Drosophila melanogaster: one gene and its partners. The protein of the gene in region 2 interacts with the protein of the main gene of each other region in a pairwise test. Each region holds a gene or a part of one and is shown on either strand. Other genes may lie near its edges.

Region 1 (8,119 bases), on a different chromosome or scaffold from region 2:
GCACTTCCTCCGCCTCGTATCTCAGTCCGCAGGTGTTCGTGTAGTGGAAATCAAATTTGGCCCGCGGCAGAGGCCAGGATTCGGGAGGAGCATTAGAGCGGCTAATCTGGGTGCAGCACCAGTAATTGGACAGCTGGAAGAGGTACACAGTAGAGCTACGACAGCTGCATTGATAATCCCCTGATCCAGGGGTCAGATCCGGAAATACACGGAGATAAGCTCACCTTAATCTCGCCTTTGGTGCCCGTGATGACGGCATCGTTTTCCAGATTCTCTAGTCCGGTTACTAGAGCCACCAGTCGACGACCATCGCCATAGTCCAGCATAAAGTCGATCTGCACATCCACGCGTTCCTTGTTGAGCTGCGTGCCGCTGGGCAGGATCTTGACGGGAGATACACCGAAAACGAACTGACCCAGCTGCAGGGCGTAGATGCCGATGTCCATAAGGATCGAACCGCCCAGAGATCGGTTGCACACCCGTTCCATATGGGCCAGGCGAAAACCGTGCTGTACCTTAACCTGGGTTACCTCCCCAATGACGTCGTTTTTCAGGAGTTCCCTCAGACGATCGTAGCTAGGAAAGAAGCGTGACCACATGCCTGAAAGCAAACCATTAACAACTACTACTTCTGTTTAGTGGGCTTATAGATACTATTACCCTCCATGAGGAACACTCCACGCTGCTCGGCCAACGTGTACAGCTCCTTGGCCTGCTCCACGCTCAAGCACATGGGAGTCTCACAGAGCACGTTTTTACCCCTGGCCAACATGAGATGGACGACAGCGTAGTGGAATGGATTCAGGGTGCCCACATACACCACTTCCACCTCTCGATCCAGAGCCAGTGCATCGAAACCATCGTAGTGCCTGGGTATCTGATTCCTCTGGGCGAACTGCTGCGCTCGCTGGCCATCCACATCGGCCACGGCCACCACTACGTGACGGGACTTCTCCACGGTTCCCAGGGCGGTGACAAAGTCCTGCGTTATCCTGCCCGCTGCCGCGATGCCCCAGTTCAGATTCGCCTGGCTCTGCATTGCGACGCTACGACTCCAGATGTGCTGAATGCTATGTGGGTATCCGTTCTGCTTTCGACGAGTCGAGTCTCGCGCGGGCCCGTGTCCGGGCAGCTACTGACGCCATGATAATGATACTGAGTGCTAGTCCCGAGGGTCTCCTATCAGTCCCTGGCATCTGCATTCATTGCAATTTTCGTATTCCATTGCATTCCGGTTGATAAGGAACCACCCAGTTCCGCACACTGGCGCTCTATAGTTGCATTTTCGGGCTACGATTCTCGTTTTCTTATAAATCCTATAGAACGTAGACCTTTCCGAATTTGTACCATCCATTTTCCTTATCCTTTTTGATGACTCCGAACCATAGGTTGTTTCTATTGCTAAGGCCCGTAGTGTTTCCAAACTGATCACACGGTTTTCGAATCTCTAAAGAACCCTTGCTATGAAGTACTATAGAACTATTCTACGCAATTGCACTTATCTTATCTCTCAGAACAAAGACGAGCCCCCTTTTTTGACTGTTATCTACAAAATGACTATTAAACTTGTGAAAAGTACAGTTGGGGTACAAAACATTCAAATATTAGATAATAATGAGAGCTAAAAAGCTTATAGATGGTTTTCAAAAATTAGCATAGGAATATTAAGAATTTTTAAAAAAGTAATATAAATTAGAACAGACTTGGTGGTATAATCTATATTAGAGATATGTGGGTAGACTTTAGAGAACCCTGAGATAAGGAATCCCTGCGCTTTTTTTTACCAGCCCCTAAATTAAAAGACGGTATCATGCGGCAGAAACGTGATCGGGAATTCTGCCAAGTCAGGCACTTTAGTAACACCCCAGTTCGACCTAGTGGGAATGTCATCGCTGCCGTTCCACAATCAATAGCTCCCCTTATCGCACTGTTTGCTAATCCTTGATCTAGAGTGGGGCATTGAAAAAATACAACAGGGGGTCCAACTTTTAGTAAGTCCAACTTTTGCTAAGGACTTTAAAATGTATTGCTTTCGTTTAAAATAATTATTTGAAATATATATTTTTTGTAAAAAGTTCTGTTTATTATGTTAGGTTTACACGTTTATCTATATAATCTATATTTACTGCTCATCGTACTTGTTCAGCACACCGATCTGCTTGCGGATGGTGTCCTCGATCTCGGCGAAGATCAAACTGTCGGCGTAGGTGACGTTCTTGTTCTCCACTTCGCCGGCGATGATGGACTGGCGCACTGCCTCCGCCTCATAGCGCATGGCCTCGGAGTTGGCGTAGTTGGTCGCGTACTTGCCCTTGGGAGGCAGCCACTCCTTCTCCTGGCCATCGATGTCGATGAGCTTGTTGGGCGACCAGAAGTCAATCAGCTGGTAGATAAGACTAGACTATTAGCTACTCTTCAATCACGATCGATTAGATTACGTACGGTAACTTGTCCTTTGGTGCCCTTGATAACGGCGGTGTTTCCCAACTTCTCCTTGGAGGAGAAGCGCATGCGAGCAGTGCGCCCACCACTGTAGGTCAAGGTGGCACTAACATCATCGTCGATGCCCTCGGCGTTCAGGGTTCCCTTGGACTCGATCTTCTCCGGTTTCTCCTGGAAGGCCCACTGCGAGACCTGGATGGTGTAAATGCCCAGATCGTAGACCACACCGCCTCCCAGTTCGCGTTTCCTTTAAGTGATGTGATCTATTAGTAATTGTTATTCTATGAACGATCTGTGTACTCACTGCAAGCGGTCGACATGAGGCATAGGGAAGCCAAAGTTGACCTCCACATCCTTGACTTGGCCCAGCTGTCCGCTGGAGATGAGCTCCTTAACGCGCTGGTACGAGGGGAAGAATCGCGACCACACGGCCTCCATGAAGAAGCGCTTGTTGGCCTTGGCAGCGGCCAGGATGCCCTCCACCTGCTTCTTGTTCATGGCCAACGGCTTCTCGCAGAGAACATGCTTGCCATTGTTCAGCATCAGCAAGGCGACCTCGTAGTGCTGGGGATTCAGGGTGCCAATGTAGACCACATCTGGGGATAATTACATTTTTTAAAGATTTTTTTGAACAGTTTGTTTATGAACTTTAAGTTCTACTCACCGACATCGGTGCTCTTGGCCAGCTCCTCGTAGCTTCCGAGGGCCTTGGGAATGCCGTGCTTGGTGGCGAACTCCTGGGCGCGATCAAGAGCTCGGGCGGCTACAGCCTGGACCTTGTGGTCGCTGGAGGGCAGGGTGCTGAGGGCGATGACAAAGTCCTCGCTGATCTTGCCGGCGGAAGCGATTCCCCAACGGATGAGTTTCGACATGTTGCTGGATTGTGGAGCGGGCTGCGAATGAGTGGCAAGCCGAGTGGATTGTTAGTTAAATATGGGTGGAATCCACAGAGAGCCCTCCTTATCAGAAATAATGCGAGAGAATTGAACGCTTTATCTCACTCCCCACCGGCAGTTTATCCCATTCCAATTGTTTGAATGAAAATCGACCAGAAGTAGTTGTGCTATTTCACAATGTTATTGAGTTTGACCTTGTTTGAGCATTACTTGAGTTATTCTGGATGCCACCTGTACGGGAATTCAAAGTTATCACTGATCGAACGAGCCCTCCTCTCCTGGCCAATAGTTTCCTCATTAAGTAAAAACACTTGTCACGTTCGCTCTGATACACAGAGCTTTTAAGATTATTACAAAAATAACATTTTAATTCTCTTGATTAATTTCTGGATGATTTCCTTTTCAATATCAACAATTTATTAGTTGGGTTTTTGTGTATGGATTTATGTATATTTAAAAGAAATATAAAAATACATTTCACATCCATTTATAAATTTGATTTAAGCTTTTTCACTTGAATATAAATTTTTATCAGTGTATCGATCAGTTTACATGTCGTTTTCTACATACATATGTATGTATTTACTTGTACGGTTCCAAATGGCGACAAATAATTTGAATTCTTTGGTTAAATAAGCCGGGTAGTACTTAGTTTATAACATTAAGCTATATCTCTTTCAGAGTTTGATTATAATTATGCTATAGTTGAACTCTCACACACATGTATACACACATATGTACAAAATAAAGAAAAAAAACTTACGCTGAGCTTGTAGCAGAACTAAACGATAAAACTTTCCACTGTTGTTTTTTATGCGCGACAGTTCTATTTATAAACAATTTGCTGTGCACCCGACGAGAATAACAGTTCGATGCGTGCGATTTAATAGACAATTAAGCTATAGACGAATATGGTGGGTGTACCAGCTAAACATGCCGTTGTTCACGCTTCTCGGTAACTGTCATTGCAAAGAAGAAGAGATCAGCTGTTCATTGTTTTGCTCGCCGATTTAAGAGGACATCGCCAAAAATGTTGCGGAAACTATTATTTAACACACAAGCTGTATTAAAACAACAGTCAAACGTGAGTTAATCATGAATGCATTAGATAGAAATTAGATACAAATTGTTACTTTCCAGTTACATCACATAAGGCACTTGGCAACGCCCAAGATATTGCAGCTTGAACAAATTCACATCGATGAAGCCATCAAAATAGAACCCACGTTAGCTGTATTCTCACCTGAAATCTGGCGAAGGGCCCATCAAACTTTTCAAAACCACGGCTTGGAAACCGTGAATTTCCTTAGAATAGTTACCGGTAACCCCGCGATTTTGAAAAGAACGCCGGACAAAATAATAAGCTGCCTGGAAATCTGGAGGGCCTGTCAATTCGGCGAGAATCTACTGCACCTGCTCCTTACGAAGTACCCCGAGTTACTGGACGTTAGCGACTCCCACCAGTTACTTTCCCACATCGGCTTCCTTCAAAGTCGCGTCTCCACCAGCAAAAATGTGTGGAAGTGTTTGATGAACAGTCCGGATTTGATAGCACAATCCGAGGTATCTATTGAGGAGAAACTGAACTTCATCACAGACGTGATGCGCATAGAAGTGCCGGAGTTGGTTAAATCGGCAGCCCTTACCTTGTCATTCGAGGAGCTGCGTTGTCGCCACCAGTTCCTGCTTCGTTTGGGCCTCTTTAAGCCACGACCTCCGAAAGCCGATCCAAATGAGCCGACTACGAACCCCAAACTCTATCAGATTACAGACACTTCCGAGAAGAGTTTCGCCACAAAGATTTGCCACGTCACCCTGCCGGAATACGAAGCCTTCAAGGATCTCTACGCCAAGGAACTGGAGCAAAAGTCCAGAAGAAAGGAGGAGGATGAGCTTAGTGATGAAGATGACTAATGTTACGTTTAATTATGGTTATAGTTTGTGCCAGCAAATAAACGCTTGTAAAAATAGGAAATGTTAAGTATAGTTTTCTATCGCCTTTAAAAAGATTTTAATTCATAAATATATTCAACTGACTTTTCAGCGGAAATGCATGTAATTAATATATCGGCTACGTATGCAACGAATACCTGTGCGACTATCGATAACATATCGCACTTAATCTGCAGCTGCAACAAATACAACGTAACGTAACGAGACGCGAATTGCCATCCCTAAGCAAATACAACGATATTCATAATATCAATCTTTAAACTCGAAAAAGCGAGACAAACTAGAAAGCTTTAATTGATTTCGTTACAGAATCAATTAGGCTATACAACCAACTCGTCTTTTTCGAGTTGACCTGGCATTTTCCTCCACGGAGGCCGGCCAAAAATCCGATTTATCCACGGGTAGGGTAGAACGGTAACCTAAACCCACAAAAAAAACAACAAAACATGGAAGTGTGTTAACGACGTAAGTGTCATTTAATGCCGATATCATTCGGCATTCGACTAAAATTGCCTGCGAGCATTTTAAGTGATTTTTATTTTGTGATTTTCAATCGTGTGCTTTGTTTGTGTTGCATTGGTGTGGGTAAGTGCGTGAGTGTGCTGTGCGTCGGTGTGAGTGGCTGCGCATGTGTGCGGCAGTGCGAGCGAGACGGCGCCACTCGAGTAGCGGTTGTCAAAAACAGCTGATCCAGACCAAGGGGTGCGGGTACCGAGGGGTTGGCGCTCGCGGGGGCGGGGGCAGCACTCACCTGTAAGCTTTCGCTGAAAATTTACGATATCAAAAACAACAGTTTGTTAAATTTCGAGATTCATTCAAAAATGGCAATATACGCATAGAAATACTCCAAGACGTACAGTCTTCACACCCTCCACAAGTGGTTTGTGCAGTGTCCAATACTTTTCCGTTGCTAATAAAATCTATATATGTATGTATGTATGTATTCAGGGTCAGGGTCCTGTGGTCAATGGATATGTTGTATATGTATAAGTGGGTTCTGCTGATATCTATTCATTTAATTATAACGATGGTTCTGTTTATGTTAATCCTAACGTGCACCAAAAAATTTTAATTATAATATAAAAAAATAAAGAAAAAATAAATAATTAATTCTAAATGATTATTCTTGTTTTAATTTACCTTAAATCTAAATCTAATAAAGTTGTAATCTTCTTGAGATATACTTATAAGATTAAATTTGAGTTTTAGGGTTAAACACGCCTGGTGGTGATTCAAACCACGTACATATGTATATGTAATAGAATATACGAATTTATTGTATGAAAACTAGTGATGATTTTAACATGGGCATTTCGTAGGGATTCCGTGGTCCGGGGTTCATGGTGCATAGCCCCAGATTTTGTGTTTTTTATCAGCGATGAATTGCAGTATCAGTTAAAAGCTGTCACTATCAAAGTTTCTCTGGAACTAATAAATCAATCCTGTTTTGCAGGTGCTTTAAGGGGCAATTTTGCTCGAGTGTACCGAATCCCCGGATCCCGCGAGCACAGCTTCTATCCGGAATGCCCCTGAACGATGTGGCCCCCGCCGGTGGTGGAGCTTATCCGGAAAATGGAACCAAGCACAAGGTGTCGGGAATGTGGAAGCCGGACTCGTCGGCCGGCTCCAATTCCGGCTCGGGATCGGCGGGACTATCCCTGTTTAGCCTGCAGGGCCAAAAGTGGCAGCAGGTCTTCGACATGGAAAAGGTCATCAAGCAACTGCGAACGGCTGAGAAGACGTATCTGCGTGGTGGAAAGAACTCCTCCGCCGGCGCAGATCAACAGGCGAAGGTGCAGGTCCAGCGTCTGCAATCGGCGGACATGGCCTACTACGATCTGGCGCCGAAGCTGGCCAGTCGCGATATAGTACTCTGTAGTTCCTGCTCGGGATGTTACACGAAGGCAGGTTTCCAGCACCACATTGCGCTGCAGCATCCTAGCGTCTGGGAGGCCACATCCAGCAAAGTGAATCCCAATCCAAATGGGACAGCCATATCCAGCGACTCTCGTCTCACTGCCACGGAAATCAGTCAGGAGGGCGGGGCTATCGTGCCAAGTTCGCCCACGGATACGCTTTCGGCCTCGACGCTCTCCAGTTGCTCGAACGGGTCCAGCAGCTCGGCTTCACTGCAGCATCCGGCTGCTGCGGGTTCATCCAGCACCACGTCGTCTTCGTCTTCGTCGCGTCACAAGAGCAGCAGCAGTAAAAGTAGCAGTTCCTCCTCGTCTAAGGGCAGCAGCAGCACTTCCGCCGGAAGTAGGTCGCGTTCGAAGTCGTCAAAGAACCGCCACCACTCCTCGCCAGCTCCGGCCCTGCTGGAGTCCAATCACAAGGAGTCAAAGGGATCGAAGAAGAGTTCGGCCATAGCCGCTCCTCCCGTCGTCGCTGCTGTTGTTAAGGAGGAGCCACCATCTGTGGGTGCTGCTCCGGCTGCCATAACCATGTTCTCCTCCTCCAGCAACTCATCCTGCAGCTTACCGCCCACTCCCACGTTGGGAGCGGCCTCCAGCGAGGTGGCGATGGGGGTCAACTATTCACCTGCCCAGCTTCAGACGGATGCGGAAAAGCTGCCCGAGCTGCAGCCAAAGAAAAAGGTATTTCATATAATTGTGACTATAATAACTCAATGATACAATTACCGAAATCCTCTTCAGTTGAAGGGCTCCAGCGATCATCGAATAAAAGCGGAAAAGGAGAAGAACAAAGATAAGTCTCTGGTGAATTCCTACGAGCAGCAGCAAGTGCTCAGCGAACTGGACCAGGCAGTGTCTTCCATCACGGGAGCGGTTTCCGCCGAGCAGGTGGCGCCCGATGAGGAGGAACTG
Region 2 (8,495 bases):
CCAATTGCTGTCAATGCTGTGCGCCATTCGCCATTCGCCATTCGCCATTTCCGTGCATATTAGAAAATTACCGAAGCTCAAGTCGCACTTCAAAAACCAAGCAAAGGTGACACTGCCATCCAGCTGGTGCGCATGTCCCTAGCGTCCTTTATATCCATTCTGTCCCGTCGTCCTGCTCCTTTCGTCGGGCAACAGGTGCTCGCTGCTCGAGCGTGGAGCGTGGTCGGGGTGGCCGAAAGGATTCGCGTGGAGTTGGGTTTGGTGCGCTGCCCGCGTGGAGCTATAAAAGCGCACGATGCGAACAACTTGGCCGTTAGTCGTCACTCCTCCGGCGTGGAACTCGATCTTCGCCGTGGGAGCAGCTGTATTCCGTTAGAGCATAGCCACCATCAGTTGAAATGTGTTTGCAAACTATTTAGCATCGGTGTATCCGTAAAATGTAAGAGCACCCAGAAGGCGGTACTCGAAAATCAGCCACACAATGTCGCACCTGGTGATGAGGCGACGGATTCTGCTTATGGTTTTGCTATTTGCAGGTAAGTCCATCAGTTCCAAGAGTTTGTGAAATTGGGCAGAAAACATTTCAAAGATACTAGCTAAAGTAGCTGAGATCATGATTATTGTTGTAGGAATTTGGAATCTTAAGTATATCATAGATCACAAGTAAAATCAAAATTTATAGAAAAAGAGAGCCTTTTCTCAAAAAAAACATTCCATTCTGCTCTTTAAAAATCTTAAAATTTAATTAATTGAAAACACAATTGAAGATGCCTAATAGGTGCATAAACTACGATTATACGTTATAGCCATTTAAAAATGGCAGAAATCTTCGTTTTTCCAATTTATCCGTCTCTGAATCAACCGAAGTTCTTTTGATCCCATTAAAAGAGATTAATAATAGTGATGTTTGTTTAAGTAAATCAAATCAAAAATCAAATCAAAAAATTTCCAATTTAAAAGTATATGTAATGCACAAAGAGTTATTTAATTATGCTATACTGTGTTTAACTACTTTTTATCCAATCTAAAAAACAATTAAAACTAAATAGCTTATAAACTTAAACTGAGACTAATACATTTTACTACGACAACTAGTTAGTTGTTCTTCCCTGCTTATGAAATTAAACGGAAGATATGACATCAATTCCATGGGGCAAACTTTATCGTAACTATCTCACATTTTCGGCAATTTTTCATTTCTCGGCAATTGTTCTAAATTGAAACCTGACCTTTTATTAGCCGCCATTGCGCCTATCACTAATTAAAATCTGTAGGGCACTAGCGGAAATTGGATGTCATGTAGTTTTGGCGAAGCCAACCCTGTTTGTACCCAAGTGACTACCCCAAATCCTGCGGGAGCACACACAATTAATGGGCCCGTCTGCCGATATGCTTCTCCACCGCCAGGTCCACTACGAAACGCACCTTTCGGCGGTGCACAGGTGGCGATAGCGACATCACCAACAACTGCTCGTGACCGTCAAATTCCGCCGGAGTGGGACCGAAACTGGAAGTTGGATCCGGACTGGGATTTCGCTGGAAGCGAGGGCAGGGAGTCGGTCGCGCCGATGACGTCACGCACCTTGGACAACTTTTACCCTTTCGATGGCGGAAATGCCCCGCCGAAAACCAGTGAAACGGAAATGGATAACCAATTCGGAGATAGCTATCTCGACCCGTATCCTACGCTGTTCGGTCGCCAGTGGCACCTCCAGCATCGCAGCAAGCAGCTGCAGGTGCAGCACAAGTGGCAATCTCCGGTTCCTCCACTTGCGGAAGTCAAGGCTAAGAGGGATCCCGCCAACTGGCCACCCGACGACGAGGAGCCACCGCTTACGTACCCCTACGCCTACACCTTGCCCTGGAAACGAAAGGAGGTTCCGGACTCACTCCGATATATGCCCTCGATCAGTGCTGGTGAGTAATGGAGTATTGGATAGGATTTGGATTCTTTGATTTAATTTAAAGCGGATTTAATCCTTAACCAATGAACCCATTGCTAGTGACATTCGTTCTACATTCCAGGAGCCATGACCAATCTGGGCGGCTTTTTCAACCGCCTGGAAGCGAACCTGCGCTTCGCGGAGCAATCGCAACTGGGTGAGTCGGAGACGCGTATGCTGGAGGGTAAACACCCGCACCCACTGCACCTGCCGCCCGTGCCGCCCGACGCTCCGGAGGATTCCGAGCAGAAGCAGGAGCACGACCGGAAGACATCGAAGCTCCTGCAGGCCCTGCGCAGCTACAGGCCCTCCCAGAAGATCCGATCGCTGGTGTCGCGCAATCCGCAGGGATACCGCGGCTCCCAGTTCATTGATCCCAGCTACATGTGGCTGGGTCTGGGCAAATGACAGTGAGACCGCCGGAGCAGCAGAATGGCCCATCAATAGTTACCTAAGTAGCTGCAACGAATGCCGCCCCAAGATTCGATTTAATTTATGCCCTCTGTGTGTGTAGAAATATATGTTTGAAAGCCTATCACAGTGTGTTAAGTTTTAAGGAATGGTATGTATTAACATTTTCGAATTACAAACAAATAATAGTAGCATCTCCAAACATTACAACAAGAAGCGTAAACCAAGCCCCTAAATAATTTTCCATTTGATTATTTATATAAAAAATATATATTTTTTTTTTTGCAGCCAATCGAAAAATCTTGTATTGGCCATTTCGTTTGGATATACGTATAGACACAATCGCGTTAATGTAAATATATATGATGTACACACAGATTTTCATTCTCTGATGCATGAAATACAACGTAGTATATAATTTTGGTGCTACTAGCTAGAAAAATATTGGGTTTATCGGGGAAGCCCCATTGGAAACATTCGAAAAGGGATATGATGAAATAAGAGCTGGCCAAACGGGAAGCTACACTGGAGCTTAAATCTTGGTGTAGCTGGGATAGGAGTTGGTCTGCTGGGTCGGCTGTGGGATCAGCGGGCGCTGGATCTCACGGGATGCCTGGATCTGCTTGAAGAGCGAGTAGATGCCGTAGTAGAGATACCAGGTCAGCACTGAAAACGAGCGAATGGAGAAAAATAAGCATCGTGCCCAAGCGCAATTATAGAACGATCGCAGACCGTCGAGCGATAAGCGCAATGGGGATCCACAATTTCGCAACAACGGCCAGTGTGTATTGTGTATACCCATTTCCAGATAGAGCTTATGTATGTATGAAGTGGTGAGTCACTTACAGAGCAGGCCAACATCCACGAAAATGATTGGAAGAGCGCTCAGGAAAGATGTATTTCCGATGATCTGGGCCAGCATTGCAATATTGGTGATAATTCCAAAGACAAGCAGCACTCCATTGTTGATCAGCCAGGGCAGCAGGAGTAAATGGCGTTCCTGAAAGGCAAACGCTATTAGAACCATCTCTATCTCTAGTTAGTATGGTGTATGTACATATGTATTTGCAAAGAAACTTGCCGGTTTTTTTTACAGAATAGTGGGCTTTTAAAAAGGTCTAACTCTAGATATGTACTATAGTAGACACATATATACGCGATTGTACAGATTGCATATTGATACTAGACTTACCTTAACGGTACCTGCAACCAACATGGCCGAAGCCAGAAGATTAATCACCTTGAGCGCCAGGTAAACACTGAAAACGATGATTAGCACTGCAATAACCGCAAGAACAATGAAATACAATAAAAAATATACGATTGGTTGTGGGTGCACTCGATGGTTAGCCCTTACCACTGCGAATCTCGGTGGCCGTCTTGTTAGAATCTTCCGATCCCTTGGCGATCTGCTGCGCAATTTCATCGACGAATCCGAGGGCCAAGGACAAGAGGATCGTGGCCAAGAAGGATAGAATCACGCCCAGCCATCCAATGACCACACCATAGGTGTTCAGGCGCATACAGAAGACCCTGGACAGCATTCTGGATTCACTTGATTTCGTGCTAATGCGAAGATAAAGACAATTTTACTTCAGTTCGCCGGCGCAGCAAAATTGCAATTGCTTGATAAGTCGCAATTGGCTGACAATTAAAAGCTTTTGGGTACAGCGGCGTTGCCAGACTGGTTCAAGCAGTTGGTGTCGAAACTGTGACTTGTTCACCAGCTTTTAATGTGACTTTTTAACGCTAATTGTTTAAAATTCTTTTAATAACATTTTTATATTTTAAATATTTTTATGCATTTATTATTTGGCATGATAGTTAAAAAATATTTATTTATGTATTCATTAACACTGCACAGCAGCGGCTTACTTTCATAATATTTTTCAAGGTGCTAATAGTAGCTACATTACATATATAATACAGCATTAAATCTCTCTATTATTTTAAAGACAATTCCCCATTTTATTCATTTCACTCTTAAATGACGAAACATATGCAAACAAATTCATATAGTAAATGAGTGCACATATATTTTTTAAGAACATATCAGACGTAGTTTTTCCACGCTCGAAAAAAAAGTATTTTCGTGTTGCATAGTTTACGCAACCGTTTCTTCTGAGCGGCATCGGCATTTGCGCCACACTTATTATTTGATTCTTGCCCAGTGCGGTTGTGTTTCCGTGCGCTAGGTGTTCCCAAACCGGTTTAAGTGCCATACTAGCCATATTTGTATTTGGAAAATTCGCTGTAAACCACAGAGTTTCAAAATGAAAATCGATCTGACGGTGGAAAATGGCCCGTGCAATACCGATTTGCGGAGCTGGTGCCTGGGAATCGCGATCTATTGGCTATTGAGCATGACTTTCAACGTTATATTCGCTCCAAACGGTAGGAGAAATGCGAGAGGCGTGGCATTTGTTTATTTTCAGAAGCTGATTGCCCAGACTGACGCTATTTCCATAGAGAGACAATACATTCATGATGTTCACATGCGAAATAAACGAATGAGCTAATCCATTCGACACAAACGCGTTCCAATTCACAACCATTTTGGATACAACACCTCACCATCGATGACGACATCGCCGACAAATTCGAGCTGACAATTCATTTTAGGTGGCCCGAAATGCCATTTTCTCACAGGCTTGAATTTTCCAGCACAAAAAAGAAAATTAAATAATTTCCTTGGGCTGTGCATGGCGCAGAATTAAACTTAAAAGATTATTGGGTTTTAACAGTTGAACGCCATATGTCATAAAAACACTTAAAGCCCTGCATTTGTCCATGTCTCAAAGAAGTTCTATAAACCTTATTCTAAGCTGTTTTAAAAAGTTTGTCATATTTCATGTATGAAATGTGTTTAAAATATAAAAGAAGAATTTATGTTTTAGTTCTTTATGTATATGTACACATGTACATGAAGTGCATCAGTGCATCAATATGTACTCATTATATACGAAGATACATTTAGCAGTCGTGTTCTCAAATTTCAGACGGGAAGAAAGATAAGAGCACAGCAACGTTTTGCTTGGAATACATTGAGTCACTTATAAGCCCAAGTTTATGTTTACTTTCCACTAATTGTAACGGCTTTTTTTATGAATGAAATATGTACGTTCAATAATTTCTATTTAAATTCACTTGAATCCTTGCAGTTCTTACCTTTATTGGATTTGCCATCGTAGTAGTCGCCAATATTTGCTTATTGATAGGAACCCTGAAGGTAAATAAAATACAACCCATTCCGTTTTATTGAGTCAACGAAACCCAATCTACCTTTCCGAATTGCAGGAAAAGCCAATTCTGGTGTTCGTCTGGCTGATCTTCGCTGCCATTGAAGCCATCTCCTTTCCGTTTGCCGTCTTCGGGGTTATCTTCCACTACGGAGGATATCGCGAGGCTACCGGAATGAACAACGTTTTCGGTGCCCTGCTCGTTTACATCATCACATTTCGTAAGTATCGGCTATGAACATCAAATTGAGTTAACAAAAATGTACAGATCATACATATTCTCCGCTACACTTTCAGTATTGATCCTCTTCAGCGCACGAATTGTGTACTCCTTCTACCTCCAGCTGAAAAACAGCGAAGCCAGCAAACAAACACCGCGCGCCATGAATGTGGTTTAGTCCTTATCATTCTACACTACATAAATTGTCGGGGAAGAGCCCACCGTTCGTTCATCTCAGTGTTTGCAATAAAATGCTTTGTTTTTTATTTGATTGCAGTTTGTCGTTAACGCACATCTCTTACTCACATCGACTTGGGATCAACTATCAACAGTTAAATACATTGGTTACATACATATACATACAGGGTGCTATTGGCTATTGGGCTACCGCGTTCTTAAACATTCAACATTTAAAACGATCGATCACACTACGGACAATTATATACTCTCGACACAGTTCTCTATCTATATAGCTAGCTATCATACTCGGCATCGTCTTCTGCTCCAATCTGCTTACTTAGACATAAAATGGAAAGTTGGTCATCTTATTGTTGCTGCTGTTATTGATGTTTTGCGACTGCGTAAAGCTCGTCTCGGCATTTTGGGTAGTTAGCTTAGCCTGCACGGCCGCCAGTATTCGCACAGCCTGGCCAGTACTGCCCGACTCCATGGCAGACTCCATACCTAGGTTCAGGTTCAGCTTGAGCTCGAAGTGTGACCCACTCGCTTGGATCTGCGACTGCGTCTGCCGTTGGGCAACAGCCGGTTTTCATCTCGGCGTGGTTATGCTGGGCAGCTTTTCCAGAAAATCATTGGCCAATACCTCTTCGATCTCCTTCAAGCAATTGGCCACATCGTTCTCCGTATCGGCAAAGTTACGCGGCTGGGGGCAACTGATGCCCAGCGTGGTGAAAAAAGCGTACAGCTCCTGCAGCGACTGCAGTTGCTGGAAGTGCAACATCAGGTGTCTATTGCTGGGGCGTTGCAGTATCTGGAACAAAGCCAAAGGGACTAGTTAGCCAGATGACGCATACGATGAGAGTGGGAATTACTCACCGGTGACTGACTGGTGTACTTCATGTCCATTAGCCTGGCCACACGTCTGACATGCGGAACATACAGCGCACTGGGCAAGGTAGCCAGGTTCTCTAGACTTCCGTTGGGCAGGCACACCTCCTCCTCGTGAACATCGAACTCGGTGCCCACAAAGGCCCATCGATACATCTGGAAATGTGGCAGTTTGGTTGCGGGCAGCACACATCCCAATTCAAGCAGCTTGCAGGCCTCCAATTGCACAGATCGCCAGTGCTGCATCGGTGTTTGGGAATTGTAACCATTGCTAGCTCCAGAAGCAGCGGACCAGGACACGTCAATCCCAGAAGGCAGGCGCAGTTGTTGGCTGCCAATAATGATACTATTAGTTTGACTACTTTTTTTCATTCGTGTTCGACTTACTTCCTCTCTTCGCTCTCCGATTTGAGCTCTTGTTCCATTTGTAGAAACACCTGTACCATTTCCGCTATGATTATGGGCCACAGCGAGGTGACGTGGTCGGGTGACATGCGAAGAAGCAGCACACGGAAGCACAGGAAAACGGCCGCTTGCACGGAAGGACCCATGGGAACCAGCCGCAGACTGTTGGCCAATTGTTCTAAGGGAATTGAAAATGTTAGTGCTGATGTTAGTTAATTCCCCAAAGAGATGGTACTAAGCTATAAATAGTAATTATATTTTTACATACTAAAAGGGTAAAGTTTGTTATTAATTGCTTAGCATCTAACAAAGGAGGAACATTTCGTTAACTTACCCTGGATGTCTGGCATGTACTTGTTGTGCTGGTCAAACTCGCTGCAATAGATAACAAAGGCGAGTCGCTTGAGCAACATGGCCCGCTGCTCATACTCCTGATCCCGGGAGGTGAATATGTTCAGACTGCCCGCCTGCGAGAGGGAGACGCGGGTCATCAGCTCTCGGAACGTGGTGTTGTCGTAGGTCATCAGGCTATCCATGATCATGCGCCAGAAGGGCAGGCACGAGAGATGCATCTGGAAGAAGGCGTTGTCCAGCAGTAGATCCAGCATATCCTTTCGCCAAGCCTTCCTGGTGTACTGGTAGCCACTTAAGCTAGCCAACAGGGCAGAGCAGGCGTAGAAAAAGGGAACATTCCGAGCAGTGTGGTTCTTCAAATACGGAGTAATATTGTACAGCAGCGGCGTCACTATGTTCACCACCTTGTCCTTCTCCTGGGAACCATAGGCCACGTCCAGTAGATTTGAGAGTATTGCTGCCAGAACACTCTGAGCCTGCAACGAATATTGCTGTAGACCTCCGCCTCCAACACTATTATCCTTGGCTAGCCCATCGGTATCCTCTTTCACGGCCAGGTTGCGACGCAACCAGGTGGTCTGCTCTAGACAGGATCCAGCCACGCTAGAGAGAGAGTCCACCAATCGAGAGGTGACATCGTGCAGCTCACGCACTTCCTTCTTGTCCTGGAATGGCATCTGCGGGCAGCGCTGGACAAACTCGTTGAGTAGCATAAGCAATGCAAACTGCGCCGGTGGTGTCAGATTCAAGCCATCGCGGATGAGGGCCAGCAGCGAGCTCCAGGCATCCGCTAATTGAGGAGCTGGAGCCGACTTCATGTAGAAGTAGAAGAGCTCCAGAGCACTCACCTCAATG
Region 3 (3,874 bases), on a different chromosome or scaffold from region 2:
ACGTGTCCTCGAGTCCTGGATTTCCGCTAGCAGTCCCACTTGGCCTTTTTTGCACGCGCGTCTGTCTGCGAATGTGTGTGTGTGGGTAAGTGGCCTACGAGGGGCTTTGTCGCCTTTTGGCGCGCTAAGTGCAAGAGCACCTACCTCTCTGTTCGTCCTTGCGTCTCCAGTGGTTCCAAGCAAATTAATTATTTGCAATCGCGGGGGGAACTCGCGCTTTTCGCAATTTTTACCGCAATTTTTCAGGAATGAACGCTTGTGCTCGCTAAAGGTATAAGTTTTTCTACACAAAGGGTCTCACTATGCGGTTATCGATATTTAGTGTGGCCGTGGATAAACAGTGGTATTAAAATACTGACTTTTTCAAAGCACTTTTGTATTATGTTTTAAATTTAAAAATTCTTTGGATTTTGGTAAGCTCAACTTAAAATGTATTAGGTTTTTCTCTTAAGCCGTTACATTCCTAAAAACCCTCTACTCAATACAAAACTAGTTTAATTAAACGTTAGAATTAAAATTTATTCGCATTACTGTTTACACAAATTACTGCATTAGTTTTAAGAAATGCAATGTAGAATTCGTAGTCAAAATTGCACTGTTTACAAAAATTGGAATATATTTGTATCTAAACTGTTCTTAAACATATAAGCCTCCTGTGCGGAGCCACAGAAATATTTGAAATACATATTTAAATTGATTGCGGTAAAAAAGTCGAGGGAACATTTTCTACAATTGTAACCTAACCGAACTAAATAAGATTGTTGTGCCTGGCCAAGGAACGTACATAACTAACTCAGTAAGTGAATCGTCTTTTGTAGCGGTGTTAGTCCATATGAGCTATGGACTGCGGTAGATGGAGAAGCCATATCGAAACGAAAGGGAGCTTGGCTAGCTGCAGAAGACATTTACGATGGAACGAGTGGGGATGTTGTTCGGATGTTGCGTCCTCCCGGCTCTACTTGCCCTTTTTCGACTCCTTCTTTTTGCTGCCGGACGAGCTGACGCCCTCGTCCTTCTCCTTCTTCTCCTTCTTTTCGGGCTTCTCCTCGGGATGATCTTCATAGCTGCAGTGGGGGCGAGAATGAGTTAGTTTAGTTTCAAGTCGAGCGCCCAGCGCAGTCCACACTTACGCAAAGAGCACCTTCAGCTCGCCGCGGATGAGGGCCACCAGGAGGGGCGTGCCCATGCAGGCTGGCACCAGGTAGAGCAGAGCCGGCTGCGCATGCTTGAACACATGCATCACGAAGATGGTGGCCAGCAGGCCAAGGAAGTAGGCAATCAGCGTGGAGTAGAAGTAGATGCGCGTCTTGCGCTTCTTGCTGTCGTCGAAGCGCAGCAGCAGAGCGATGAAGATGCCCGGAATAACGATGTCGCCTAGTCCCAGCATTGCGAAGTTCGAGGCGTTCAGGCCGTTCTCGATCAGGTCCTGGGGGAACACTAGCTTGATGGGCGCCTCGAAGCTCTTGGCCACGGTGACCATCACGTTGGTGCCGAATACCCAGAAGATGTCGTAGAAGAACAGGCCGCTCAGCAAGATGACGCCCGTGACGAAGTTGTTCAGGTGCAGCATCTCCACGCCGTTGATGGCGAAGGCCAGACCGAACAGATTGTTGGCGATCCAGTGCTTCTTGAGCAGGTACCACACTCCGATCGCCGAGGAGATCACCAGGCAGACAATGTCGTGCGTGGAGAACTTGTAGTTAACGATGTCTTCCTTGTGCTTGCCCTCCCCCTTAGTGAACAGGATGTGGAAGGGCACCTTCGGCACGGCGGCGGGCATCAGCGAGTTGATCACCGGACTGAGCAGGTGCGCCAGAGCAATAACTCCCAGCACGAAGAAGTAGCCGGTGAGCAGGTAGTTGATGTGCACCTTCTGGAAGATCTTGAAGAACAGGTACAGCCCGAAGAGGGCTGCCGACGCGATCAGCGGGAAGTACATGGCGTCTTTCTTGGTCATCGTGTCCGCCTTCTCGCCCGTTGACTGCAGGGAGTGGGAATTACGGGAAACATGTTAATGCAGCTTCCGGGCTGAGTCTGCTTCACATACCTTCTTCAGCTTGTGCAGCTTCACGGAGCGGATGGAGCCGAAGATGATGGGCAGCATGGCCATCACCACCAGGCTGCTGTAGGCCACCGCCATGCCCTCCGGAGTCGAGGGCTTCTTCTCGCCCGGCGCCGACTCGTTCTTCGGCGCGTTCACATTCTCGATGATGCCCTTCAGCACCTCCTTAACGGTTCCGATGACTTCCTCCGCCATGCTGTGCTGTCCAATCCAATCCGTTCCTGAAAATCGCCGGCTTGCGGGGGTGAAAAGCGAAATGACACGCAGCAGCACACGTCAACAATCTGTGTTATCGGTACCGCTGGTCATCGTCTGGGCCTATCGGACGCACCGCAGTATACCAAAAATATACCACCCTCTGTGGTGGGGTCGCACCGCCACCAAACTCCCGAAAAATATACCAAAACGGTTGAGATTCAAAACTGATAAATCTGATTTGAAATTAGTGAATCCCGAACTTAGTTTGTGAAAACCTGCTAGCTTATCGAGCTAATTGTTCACCAGTTCTCCTCAATTTATTAATCATATGTTTGGCATTTTTGCGAAACAAAAATAAGTGAAATGGATTTTTAAGTTTATTTTATGCTGATATATGTAAATGCTTTTGAATTGATTAAGTTCTTAAGAGAACTGACTCTCGAACCTCCCCGAAGTCAGTACATGTGAGCACGGCTCCCACACAAAACCCAAATATGTCGGCTGCTGCTTTATCTGCTGCGTCGGCAGAGGAACACCGAGATATCGGAGGAGCCTCGGCCATGTGCCAAGCCGCAAACCGAGCTCAGTTCCCATTCAGATTTCGAGAGCACAGCACCGTACATCCGAAACAAAGGCGCGCTGAACAATGACGACGACTCCCAAGATAAAGGCACCAGTTTCCGGTCCTGGACTGCCACTACTGCTGCAAATGCTAATGGGGATGCTTCTTATGGGGCTGACTTCCGTGCCAGGCGCCACTGGTAAGTGTTTACGGCTCCGGAGTTGCATAAGCCGCTGATAAGTGTGATCTCGAATCCCCTCCAGCCACCGCGGACCCCAAGAACGCCAATGTCAAGGCCCTGGATCGCCTCCACGCCGGCCTGTTCACGAACTACGACAGCGATGTGCAGCCGGTGTTCCAAGGAACCCCCACGAACGTGTCCCTGGAAATGGTGGTCACCTACATAGACATCGACGAGTTGAACGGCAAGCTGACCACCCACTGCTGGCTGAATCTCGTAAGTCCAGTCCTCTCCTTCGTCCTCTCCTTCGTCTCGAGTAGCTGAGAAACCAGATAATTTCCGAGTTCCCTCAAGTTCACAACTCTGATAAGCAATTTTGGAAAGCGTGTTATCTGAACTGAACTGAAGTGTTGTTTTGTTTTGTTTTTTTTTTTTTTTGAGAGAGTACTATAAAGCTAATAAGTGTAGTGCATTTATGAATATCTGAATATCCAATCAACTAACCAGAAGCAATCGTGGTTTTCTAGCGATGGAGAGACGAGGAGCGCGTGTGGCAACCGTCACAATATGACAACATCACGCAGATCACTTTGAAGTCCAGCGAGGTCTGGACCCCCCAAATCACACTCTTCAACGGCGACGAAGGTGGCCTGATGGCCGAAACCCAGGTGACCCTCAGCCACGATGGCCACTTCCGGTGGATGCCTCCAGCCGTGTACACGGCCTACTGCGAACTCAACATGCTCAACTGGCCCCACGACAAGCAGAGCTGCAAGTTGAAGATCGGCTCCTGGGGCCTGAAGGTCGTCCTGCCGGAGAACGGCACGGCGAGAGGAGAGTCCCTTGACCACGACGACCTGGTTCAGTCACC
Region 4 (8,439 bases), on a different chromosome or scaffold from region 2:
GGAAACTGGGCGAACTTCTTAATGGCAGTAGCATCGATCTCTGCGTATTTGGTCTTGAGGTCCTGGATCTCCGCTTCGGTGGCGGCCAGTCGCGACTTGTTGATCTCCTGGCGCGGACGCTTCTGGCTGTTGTCGCCGCTTTTCCGGCCACCACCAGCTCCTTTGAACGTGCCGGATCCCGGCTTGAAACGCGAACCCGGTTTGCCGGGTCCCTTGGGTTTCTGGCGCTGCATACCCTCTGTTTATTGACCAAAATGCGGTCGTTTCGAAACGTATTGAAATTCGCACGCGGTTGGAATTAGGGATGAGAGAAGAAACGATTATTCAATCGATTAATTCGCATTTCAAGTCGAATGTATCGACCACTAATTTGTATTACCGTTTCTAGAAATTTGGAAAGAATTAATTTTCTTACTTTCTTACTTCGATTCGATCTCGGGATCTCGATTGATAAACATTAAATAAATATTCCCAGGAAATATAAATATATATATATTTATAAAACTGCATATCCCGACTTCGTGATTTTTTGTTTCTTGCAGTCTGGTAACACTGCCAAGTGTACAGTCGTCAAAAAACTCTATAAAGAATTTGTTTTGCTGGTACGCGGCAATTGAAATCGCCACCGTAGAGCAAATTGGACGTTGTCACACAACCGGATAAACAAGTGCATTATGGCCAAGGCGAGTAAGAAGGTGGCAGAAAGTAAGCGCAGGAACGGAGTCGCCAACGAGAGCGAAAACGAGGAGATTGACCAGCAAAAGTCCAATGGGACAGGTCGATCGTCCAGGAAGACGCCGAACAAACGAAAGGCCAAACTGACTGTGGCCTCTGACAGCGAAGACAGCGATTGCCAGACCTCTACCTCCAACGTGGATGTACCAGCTGCAAGGAACAAGCGCAAGGTGGGCAAGGCCAGGAACGCCACCACTTCGCCCCGCAAAAATGGCAAAAAAATCGTTATAGAGGATTCGGATGATGATGCTAATCATTCCGATGTAGACCCTAGTGCCGACAGTTCGCCAAGGAAGCCAAATATCAAACGCCAGACACGGCGATCCGTGCGCGGTGAAACGGAAGATAGCAATGAACTGCCCTCCACCTCCAAAGCCTCTGCACATGCATCAAGTCCGATCAAGAAGCGCAAGCTGAGCAGGGCTTCGACTTCTTCCGTCAAAAATGGCAAGAAGGTTGCTGAAAAGGATTCGGAATCCGATGTCGATGCTGGAACAGAGGATGAGAAATCAGCTCAACCCCAGGTGAGACATCAATTCGAGAAATCAAAAAATACTAGACCCAATTAGATATTGAACCCTCAGTAAATTCTACGAAATTCTAGTCAGCAATTACAAAACATTGAGACTCAAAACCTTTCGAAAAGGTTAGATTATGATGACTGTACTATTATTCGAAATCATTAGCGCTAACTGGCGTACATATAAAAATGTATGCTTTTAAAACATTACACTGAAACGCTGATGAGAAAGTGTAGTCAGTTGAGAGTAATTTCGTTATATGGCGGTTATCTTGGCCAAAAATGCCTCATACTTTAAGATTCATTTTATTTATAGGACAGTATTTTGATCAATGAAGTCCAACTTTTTTATCTTTGCTGCTTTGCAGAAGGTTGCAGCTAAATCGAAGTCCTCGCCAAACGCTAAGAAGGCTAAGGGACGTGGTCGACGGAACGCCGGCACCAAGAAAGCCGACGATTCAATCGACCCAGAAAAGCAATGGGAAGTCGAAAAAATTCTTGATCACGTTGCCACCAAGGAGGGCGACATGTTTAAGATCCGATGGAAGAAGTATGGACCGAAGGATGATTCCTGGGAGCCGAGTAAGAATCTGGCGTGCGATGCGCTTATCGAAAAGTTTATGCGGAAACAAGCAACCCAGGAGAACGTGGACGTTAAGGAGCTGCGCGAATCGCCCAAGAAGACCGAGCGCCTCGTCGATGAATGCTATCCCAGGACAAATCTGCACAATCGTATTGAACGCTCCTCGAAGCGCTCTTCCGCCAAAAACCGGTGCGTTTAATATCTCTATATACACAATAAGGTTAGAATAACGACACAGCTGTGAAGTATTAAATTCAGTTATTCCTCAGTTGATACTTTCAGTTTATATTTGCCCGTTTCGTTGCTTAATTTCACGCATTGTGTCTGATTTCTTCATTATTTTGTTTATAGTTTTGATATCCACACTCAACCATGTTACTCATATGTCAATAAACCTTTATACTTTCAGCATTTTCTACGGCGAGGAGTGAGGAAGGGCAACAAGGAAGGAAATCCATGTAGGAATTTAGTACACTTTTTTTTTTTTACATATAATATTACAACACATGCGGACCGAAGTACGCGGAAAGGTGACCCATGGCGGCTCCAGTTAGATTTTAACGGAAAATTTCCCTTATCGTTATTGGTTTTAAAAAAGCTCGCGGGCGGAGCCAATCCACATCATGTCCACAATCCTGACTATTGGCGGACAACTTTACGGGCAACACAAATAACTAAATATTAAATTCGGATTTTAGTACATAAGTAAAAAGGACAGGCAATCGACTGCATCACAGTGCGTACATACATGTAGTATTATATCTGGTTAATTGCACTCAACCAGCGTAGAATGTAAGGCATCATTTCTGTAGCTTTAGTTTTATCCTTTGAGTAATTGATGTTTGTATTGGTCAATTGCCACAGCTGAAAATAGCCTCTCAACTACTCTTCCAATCATCTTAATTCATAATATTCGTTCTTACGTACGTACGCCATTGTACATACAATTATAATGAGCGAACATTATAATTAGTAATGGAACATGCGTACGTATGCAATAGTAAACATCCATTATAATTAGCAATGGGAACCTGCCGTTTCCACTACAAAATAAAATCATTTATTGGTCAAGATATGAAAAACGCACATTTGGCTTGCATTGGGGTTCTGGCGATCTTCCACATCTAATTGAATGTACTAGTATTCTCGAGTTCGTTGGGAGTTATTATTTTATGTGTAACCTTTCAAAATGGAAACTTTCCAATGGAAAGTGAGCATATTTTTAAAAAAAAATCCAAAAATCCTTTATCAATGACCTCTATAAGTTGCTTAACATTTATTTAACTTTCGTTCGACAATCAGTGATAGGTTCTGCTCCTTGCTCATCCTCTACAGACCGGCCTGCAGACCAAAGCCAGGACCCTTGGGCTCCTCGCTCAGGGAAGTGGGCTCGCCCTTTGGCTCGCTGGCAAAGCGTCCGTTGCGTGGCCCAGGGGGCGATATCTTATCCGCCTTCAGGTCGTTCAGGATGTCCTGCATGTCCTTGGATGTCAGATCCTCCTGCAAAGTAAAAAAAAAACGTTAGCAATGTTTGCACAATATAGAGTCGATTTCAGCGCATTAAGATTGAAACGCTGGACGAGGCTGAGAGTGAAACTGGCGTTTCCTACAAACAAATGACCAGGAAACACATTTAGCAATTAGAATTGCTTACATAGTAGTCATCGTTGATCGCCACCATTGGCGCATTGACACAGGCGCCCAAGCACTCGACCTCCGAGATGGTGAACTTCCTGTCCTTGGTGGTGTCGCCGACGCCGATGCCCAGCTGCTTCTTGCAGGTCTCCAGGATGTCGTCCGATCCGCGGAGCCAGCATGGTGTGGTGGTGCACACCTGGATGTGATACTTGCCAGTGGGCTTGCGCATGAACATCGTATAGAAAGTGGCCACCTCGTAGACGCGCATATTGGGCAACTGGAGAATCTCGGCCACCTTGTGCATGGCAGAGATTGGCAGCCAGCCGTACTGGCGCTGTGCCAGATCAAGCAGCGGGATCATGGCGCCGCGCTTGTGCCCCTCCGGATAGATGCTGAGTATGGCCTCCACGCGCTTCTTGTTCTCCGCCGTGAACTCGAACGGGATGTTGGGATTATCCTCCGGTGTGTCGCGATGGACGAACAGATTGTCGCTGGCCCGGGCACTGCTGGTGGCAATTGCCCGGATGTTGGCGCGCTGCAAATAACAACACATATCCTTAATGTTATTGTTTTCCTGTCGCCAATTATATAACTCGGGGAACAGGTTGCCTTCCCTGGTTGACACCGCGAATTACTGGACAGTTTGGATGGCTGCGCTACTCACCACGGCGGCCAGTGTTTTGGAGGCACAGTTTGTCAGCATTCTGGCGTTTCCAAAATAATGAAAAGGCTGAAAATTTGCTCTTATGTTATGTGAAGTCCGTCGGCTGCTGTCAGTTTTTTTTTAACAAGCACCGCTTACAGCTGATTTTCGGCGGAGCGTTTGCCAACACTGGCACTTGTCGTCAGAGATGAGCAAATCTCTACAAATCTTGTACAACATTAATAAAAAAAAGCTTAAACAAATAAAACTTGTAATTAAATTAATATTCAGCGGTACGTTACATTTTTTTATTCCTTTTTAAAATAAGTTTTCTAAAACAGTAAGCGATATATATCGCTGTGACTTCAGTATCTATGACACTTTTCAACAATGATCGCTGTGCCTTAGCATTCGATATCCGATAAATTACTGAACGCGCAAACTTGTAAGCTTATCGGGGGGAAACATTGAACGGACAAAATATGGAAAAATATCCACTTGTCAAAGAATTTATGGGGCAAAATTGGCCAAAAGATACCAAAATGGCGCAGCTCGAGAAGGAACTCAAGAAAAGGAAAGAATTGATCGTCGAGGAGCAGAGTGAGTGGGCATAATGCGCGAATCTCCAAGTAAGATTTATACATACATGTTTCTGCTTGTTCAGTTGTAGGGCCGCGTTTGGAGCAGGTGCTATTCGACCTGACCTTGGTCAAGCAGTGCGCCTTGGTAGTGGAGGATAACGGTGCCGGTATGGCACAGGCCAACACCATGATACAGGACTGTATGTTCCAGATCACGCGAATTGAGGAGCTGCTCGAAATGGCCGGGCTGCAGGACATCCTCTACTACACGGTGCATCGCAAGGAGCAGGAGTTCCAGCGCAAAATTAAGCTGCAGGAGGATTTGGCCGAGCAAGAGAATCAGCAGAACACAATCCTCGAATCGCGCAGCATCGGTAAGATTTTGTATGAGGTATTATTGAATACGGAATCCATTTGAATGCTATATAATCATAAACAATAAAAAACATTTTGTTTAATATTTTTTACCCTATGTGATAGTATAAGTTCATTTGTGTTATTTAAATGATTCTCAAGTAGCTTCTATTTCAGTCCAGGAATTCCGAAAAGAGCAAGCCTTAAAAAAAGAGGCAGATAAGGAGCTAGCCTCAGTGGACGACCAACTGGACCAGTCGGATCGCGAGTGGACAATTACGCTGAGAAGTATGACGGATAAGCTTAATAAGAAGATAGTCAGCGTTTTACAGATGGGAAAGCTGATAAACGAATTGAAGGAAGAGGTGAGTAGCTGCGAAATATCCATTCCAAGTGAATAACTTTTCCGTTTTTCAGTTGCAAAAAAGGAATTTGATTAAAACGGGTGTCACTAAGGGCGCTGAACCAAGTTTGGCTGGTGTTCCATCCGCTAGCACCATTTCACCATTTCAGTCCGCTTCGGATTTCCTCAACAACTTCATCTTTAAGAATATCAGACCAGATGACAATAAATCCATGACGAGCGTGAATAGAGAGATCACTACTAAGAAGCTGGAGACTCCTCTGCGATCCATTTTGATCAAATGCAAGGAGGTCGAGTCTGTTGCCATTTCCAACTCGCCAACAAAGCAAGTGCGTTTTTCTCCCTATCCAGAGATAAGCCATATCGAAGAGGAGAAATTTGAGAAGACCGATTGGCTTTCTCCTTCAGAAGAGGCAGGTGTCCCAAATGCGGAATTAGAAGAGGACAGTGACGAAATGGAGGCCACAGACGAAGATTTTGAGGAAATATCAGAAGAAGAATTCGAAATGGCGCTGAAAGATGAAGGATTTGAGCAGGAGGTAAAAGTAGAAAAGTCAGAAGAGGTTTTGCATCTAGAACAGGATAGATATGATGAGAAATCTGGCTCAGAAGTCGAGGAATCCGTATCGGATGACAAGGAATCCGGAGGGGAGGCTTCAGGAGAGGAGGAGCCGGCTGATGCGGCCAAACAAGTAAAAATCGGCGAAAACCCGAAGACTGATGAGCAGCTATCCAATGAAATTTCCGATAAACCACAAATAATTAGAGTCGACACTCTCTCTCCCTTCAAAAACATATCTTCCTGGGCCAGCGACGATATACCCAGCACCTCCAAGGGCACTCTTAATCGTTTTACTGCAACCCAGTTTATGAACTATGGTAGCAATCGCGATGAAAACGAGGCGCCGCCTTGCAAGCGACTAAAATTGGAGGAGGAGGAGTTCCCAATGAGCCAACCAATGCCGGATTACTTTAAGCATCCGTCGTCCACATTCAACAACTTTGATGATCAATCACTTCGATTCAGCTCGCCCCACAACAATTTTGACGATGATTACCTGCTGAACTTCAGCGATGATAATGATGTTACACCTACTGCCGCCTCGGCGTACATACTTTAAATTGTTAACGTATTTTGGTCAAAAATTAATGTATGTTCTTTATAAGAACGGACAATTAATTAATATCCAGATACTTATTCATTCATTGCCATTTGCAATCAAAAAAAATTTCACTTCAGCTAAATTATTTGTAGCTTTATAATGAAATTAATTTGCGTACATAATATGCATATGTACATTTAAATCATACGTATTCAGTTCGAAAGTGCCGTTTCAGACTTATTCTTCATTTTGTCGTTGCTTATAAACTAATAAAACAATAAATTAAGACAAATTCGTGACTTTAAATATTTAATTTTACTGCAAACAGTAAATTTTACCACTTGCAATAAAATACTTTTCTCATTACAGCATATAAATCTTTATTAAAAATGTATATTATAAAATAGGGGAATATGAAGACTACTTAATACAATACATAGTGTAAAATACATTTATATATTTAATCTAATATATATTTAACTTTAATATTTCATTTGTAATTCTGGGCGCCAATGGTTTGAGTCCAAGCTTTAATCGATTTGGTATATTTATGGTTTGTTTTGGTATTTGTCAGCATGCATCGCGCTTAGTATTTTAACCCATGCTGTCGATACCACGAGTTTGTTTTACAAAAATTGAACCAAAACCCAAAATAAATGGCTCGGAAACGAAAGATTCCCGTGCGCAAGCACCACGGCGTCCGTGATCCCCTCAAGCAGCTGGAACAGAAGGAGAAGAAGTTTGTTCATAGTGGCAAGTCAGTCGAAAAAGGCAGCTAAACTAATATCTGCACCATTTCACATTTCAGACTTTCCAAAGTAACGAACAATCCGCCTGTGAAAAAGGATGAGCAGCAGGTGTCCTTTAAGTTCCGTCAGTTTCAGCAGCTTGCCAACGCCACCAAATCGGGCAAGAAGCTAAGATTGGGCGAAATTGGACGGGAGGATAAGCCCAAATCCTCTCCAGGATCCAAGCCTGGCAGTAGTTCCTCCTCAAAGGAAACGCGTAACATCAAGCAGTTCGCCAACGAAACGGACGAGGATTATCTGCGCCGAGTGAATCGCATGACCAATGCATCCGTACGGGAAGCCCACTACGAGGCCAAGTATGGTGTGAACGTGATCAGAAACCCCAAAACCGGGGAGATTACTGTCCAAAAGAGGCCGAAAAACGAGATCGACGAGCTGCTCAAGCAGAAGCAAAAGGAGCAACGGCTGGCGGGCAAAAGGGGTCGCAAAAAGGTTCAAGTCGTACACAAGCCCATGGATGCGAAGACCAGTCGCGAATTGGTGAAGAGGGCCTACAAGGAGGCCCAGCAAGAGGTTGATACCGAGGAGAAGCAGAATGCCGGGCCAACAGAATTCAAACAGGATGCTGTGGCATTTGGTGAGATCGTCCATGCCCCACCTTCCCTCAAAATCCTGCCGCGCAAAGCGGAAAAAAGTGAAACCGTGCCGCGTCCAGGACGCAAAGCCAATCTCCTTCTAAAGTCCATGCTGAATCCCGACCAGGGTCAGTCAAATCGTGGGCCGGAGGACGACGACAGCAGTCGACTAAAGCTGGCTGCCCAATCTAAGAGCGCCTTCAAAGCACCCACCAAGGCCCAGATGAAGGGCAAGCGGAAAGATCTGCCCTTGGCTACGAGGTCAATGCTTGAAACCGAGCGCAGCAAAATGGTTCAGCTATACCGTCAGCTCAAAAACAAGACAACAGCAGATTCCTAACAGATTCTAGACTAGATACCAACGTACTTTTTTTTTTACATGAAAACAAGTTAACCTAATCCCTTAAGTTTCGTGAATGCGTTTGCTACCCACTGAAGGTCGTAGTTTCATTATAGAATGTTAAATATATTGATGAGATTTTTATTAAATCTATTTTCATACAAAATAAAAAGTGCACTGTTTAATTCCACTAT

Evidence for each region.
Region 1: the proteins of CG15083 (region 2) and CG15390 interact in a two-hybrid assay, tested with the Drosophila melanogaster proteins (one large-scale study listed by BioGRID).
Region 3: the proteins of CG15083 (region 2) and Spp interact in a two-hybrid assay, tested with the Drosophila melanogaster proteins (one large-scale study listed by BioGRID).
Region 4: the proteins of CG15083 (region 2) and ND-24 interact in a two-hybrid assay, tested with the Drosophila melanogaster proteins (one large-scale study listed by BioGRID).

The regions. Positions count from the first base shown.
Region 1 is NT_033779.5:2,370,388-2,378,506, forward strand, and holds CG15390 (uncharacterized protein), read left to right. Parts: upstream 1-4,325; 5' UTR 4,326-4,368; coding exon 4,369-4,422; intron 4,423-4,478; coding exon 4,479-5,252; 3' UTR 5,253-5,310; downstream 5,311-8,119. Other genes in the region: CG3597 (uncharacterized protein), read right to left, coding at 1-133, 225-601, 655-1,039; CG3609 (uncharacterized protein), read right to left, coding at 2,123-2,383, 2,443-2,689, 2,747-3,038, 3,107-3,314; Atxn7 (ataxin 7), read left to right, coding at 6,815-7,888, 7,949-8,119.
Region 2 is NT_033778.4:18,830,765-18,839,259, forward strand, and holds CG15083 (uncharacterized protein), read left to right. Parts: upstream 1-4,498; 5' UTR 4,499-4,627; coding exon 4,628-4,748; intron 4,749-5,515; coding exon 5,516-5,583; intron 5,584-5,651; coding exon 5,652-5,814; intron 5,815-5,890; coding exon 5,891-5,991; 3' UTR 5,992-6,078; downstream 6,079-8,495. Other genes in the region: CG15082 (uncharacterized protein), read left to right, coding at 482-536, 1,408-1,917, 2,026-2,351; CG15098 (uncharacterized protein), read right to left, coding at 2,887-3,020, 3,201-3,354, 3,547-3,632, 3,712-3,898; CG15099 (uncharacterized protein), read right to left, coding at 6,583-6,804, 6,870-7,212, 7,269-7,464, 7,621-8,495.
Region 3 is NT_033779.5:542,286-546,159, forward strand, and holds Spp (signal peptide peptidase), read right to left. Parts: upstream 2,369-3,874; 5' UTR 2,258-2,368; coding exon 2,048-2,257; intron 1,982-2,047; coding exon 1,131-1,981; intron 1,065-1,130; coding exon 956-1,064; 3' UTR 501-955; downstream 1-500. Other genes in the region: nAChRbeta3 (nicotinic acetylcholine receptor beta3), read left to right, coding at 2,907-3,021, 3,086-3,279, 3,531-3,874.
Region 4 is NC_004354.4:17,628,162-17,636,600, reverse strand, and holds ND-24 (NADH dehydrogenase (ubiquinone) 24 kDa subunit), read right to left. Parts: upstream 4,513-8,439; 5' UTR 4,422-4,512; intron 4,348-4,421; 5' UTR 4,180-4,347; coding exon 4,141-4,179; intron 4,012-4,140; coding exon 3,493-4,011; intron 3,339-3,492; coding exon 3,168-3,338; 3' UTR 3,092-3,167; downstream 1-3,091. Other genes in the region: CG5800 (uncharacterized protein), read right to left, coding at 1-233; CG8289 (uncharacterized protein), read left to right, coding at 675-1,259, 1,624-2,027, 2,248-2,269; corolla, read left to right, coding at 4,602-4,719, 4,784-5,074, 5,232-5,419, 5,472-6,539; CG8326 (uncharacterized protein), read left to right, coding at 7,178-7,260, 7,330-8,245.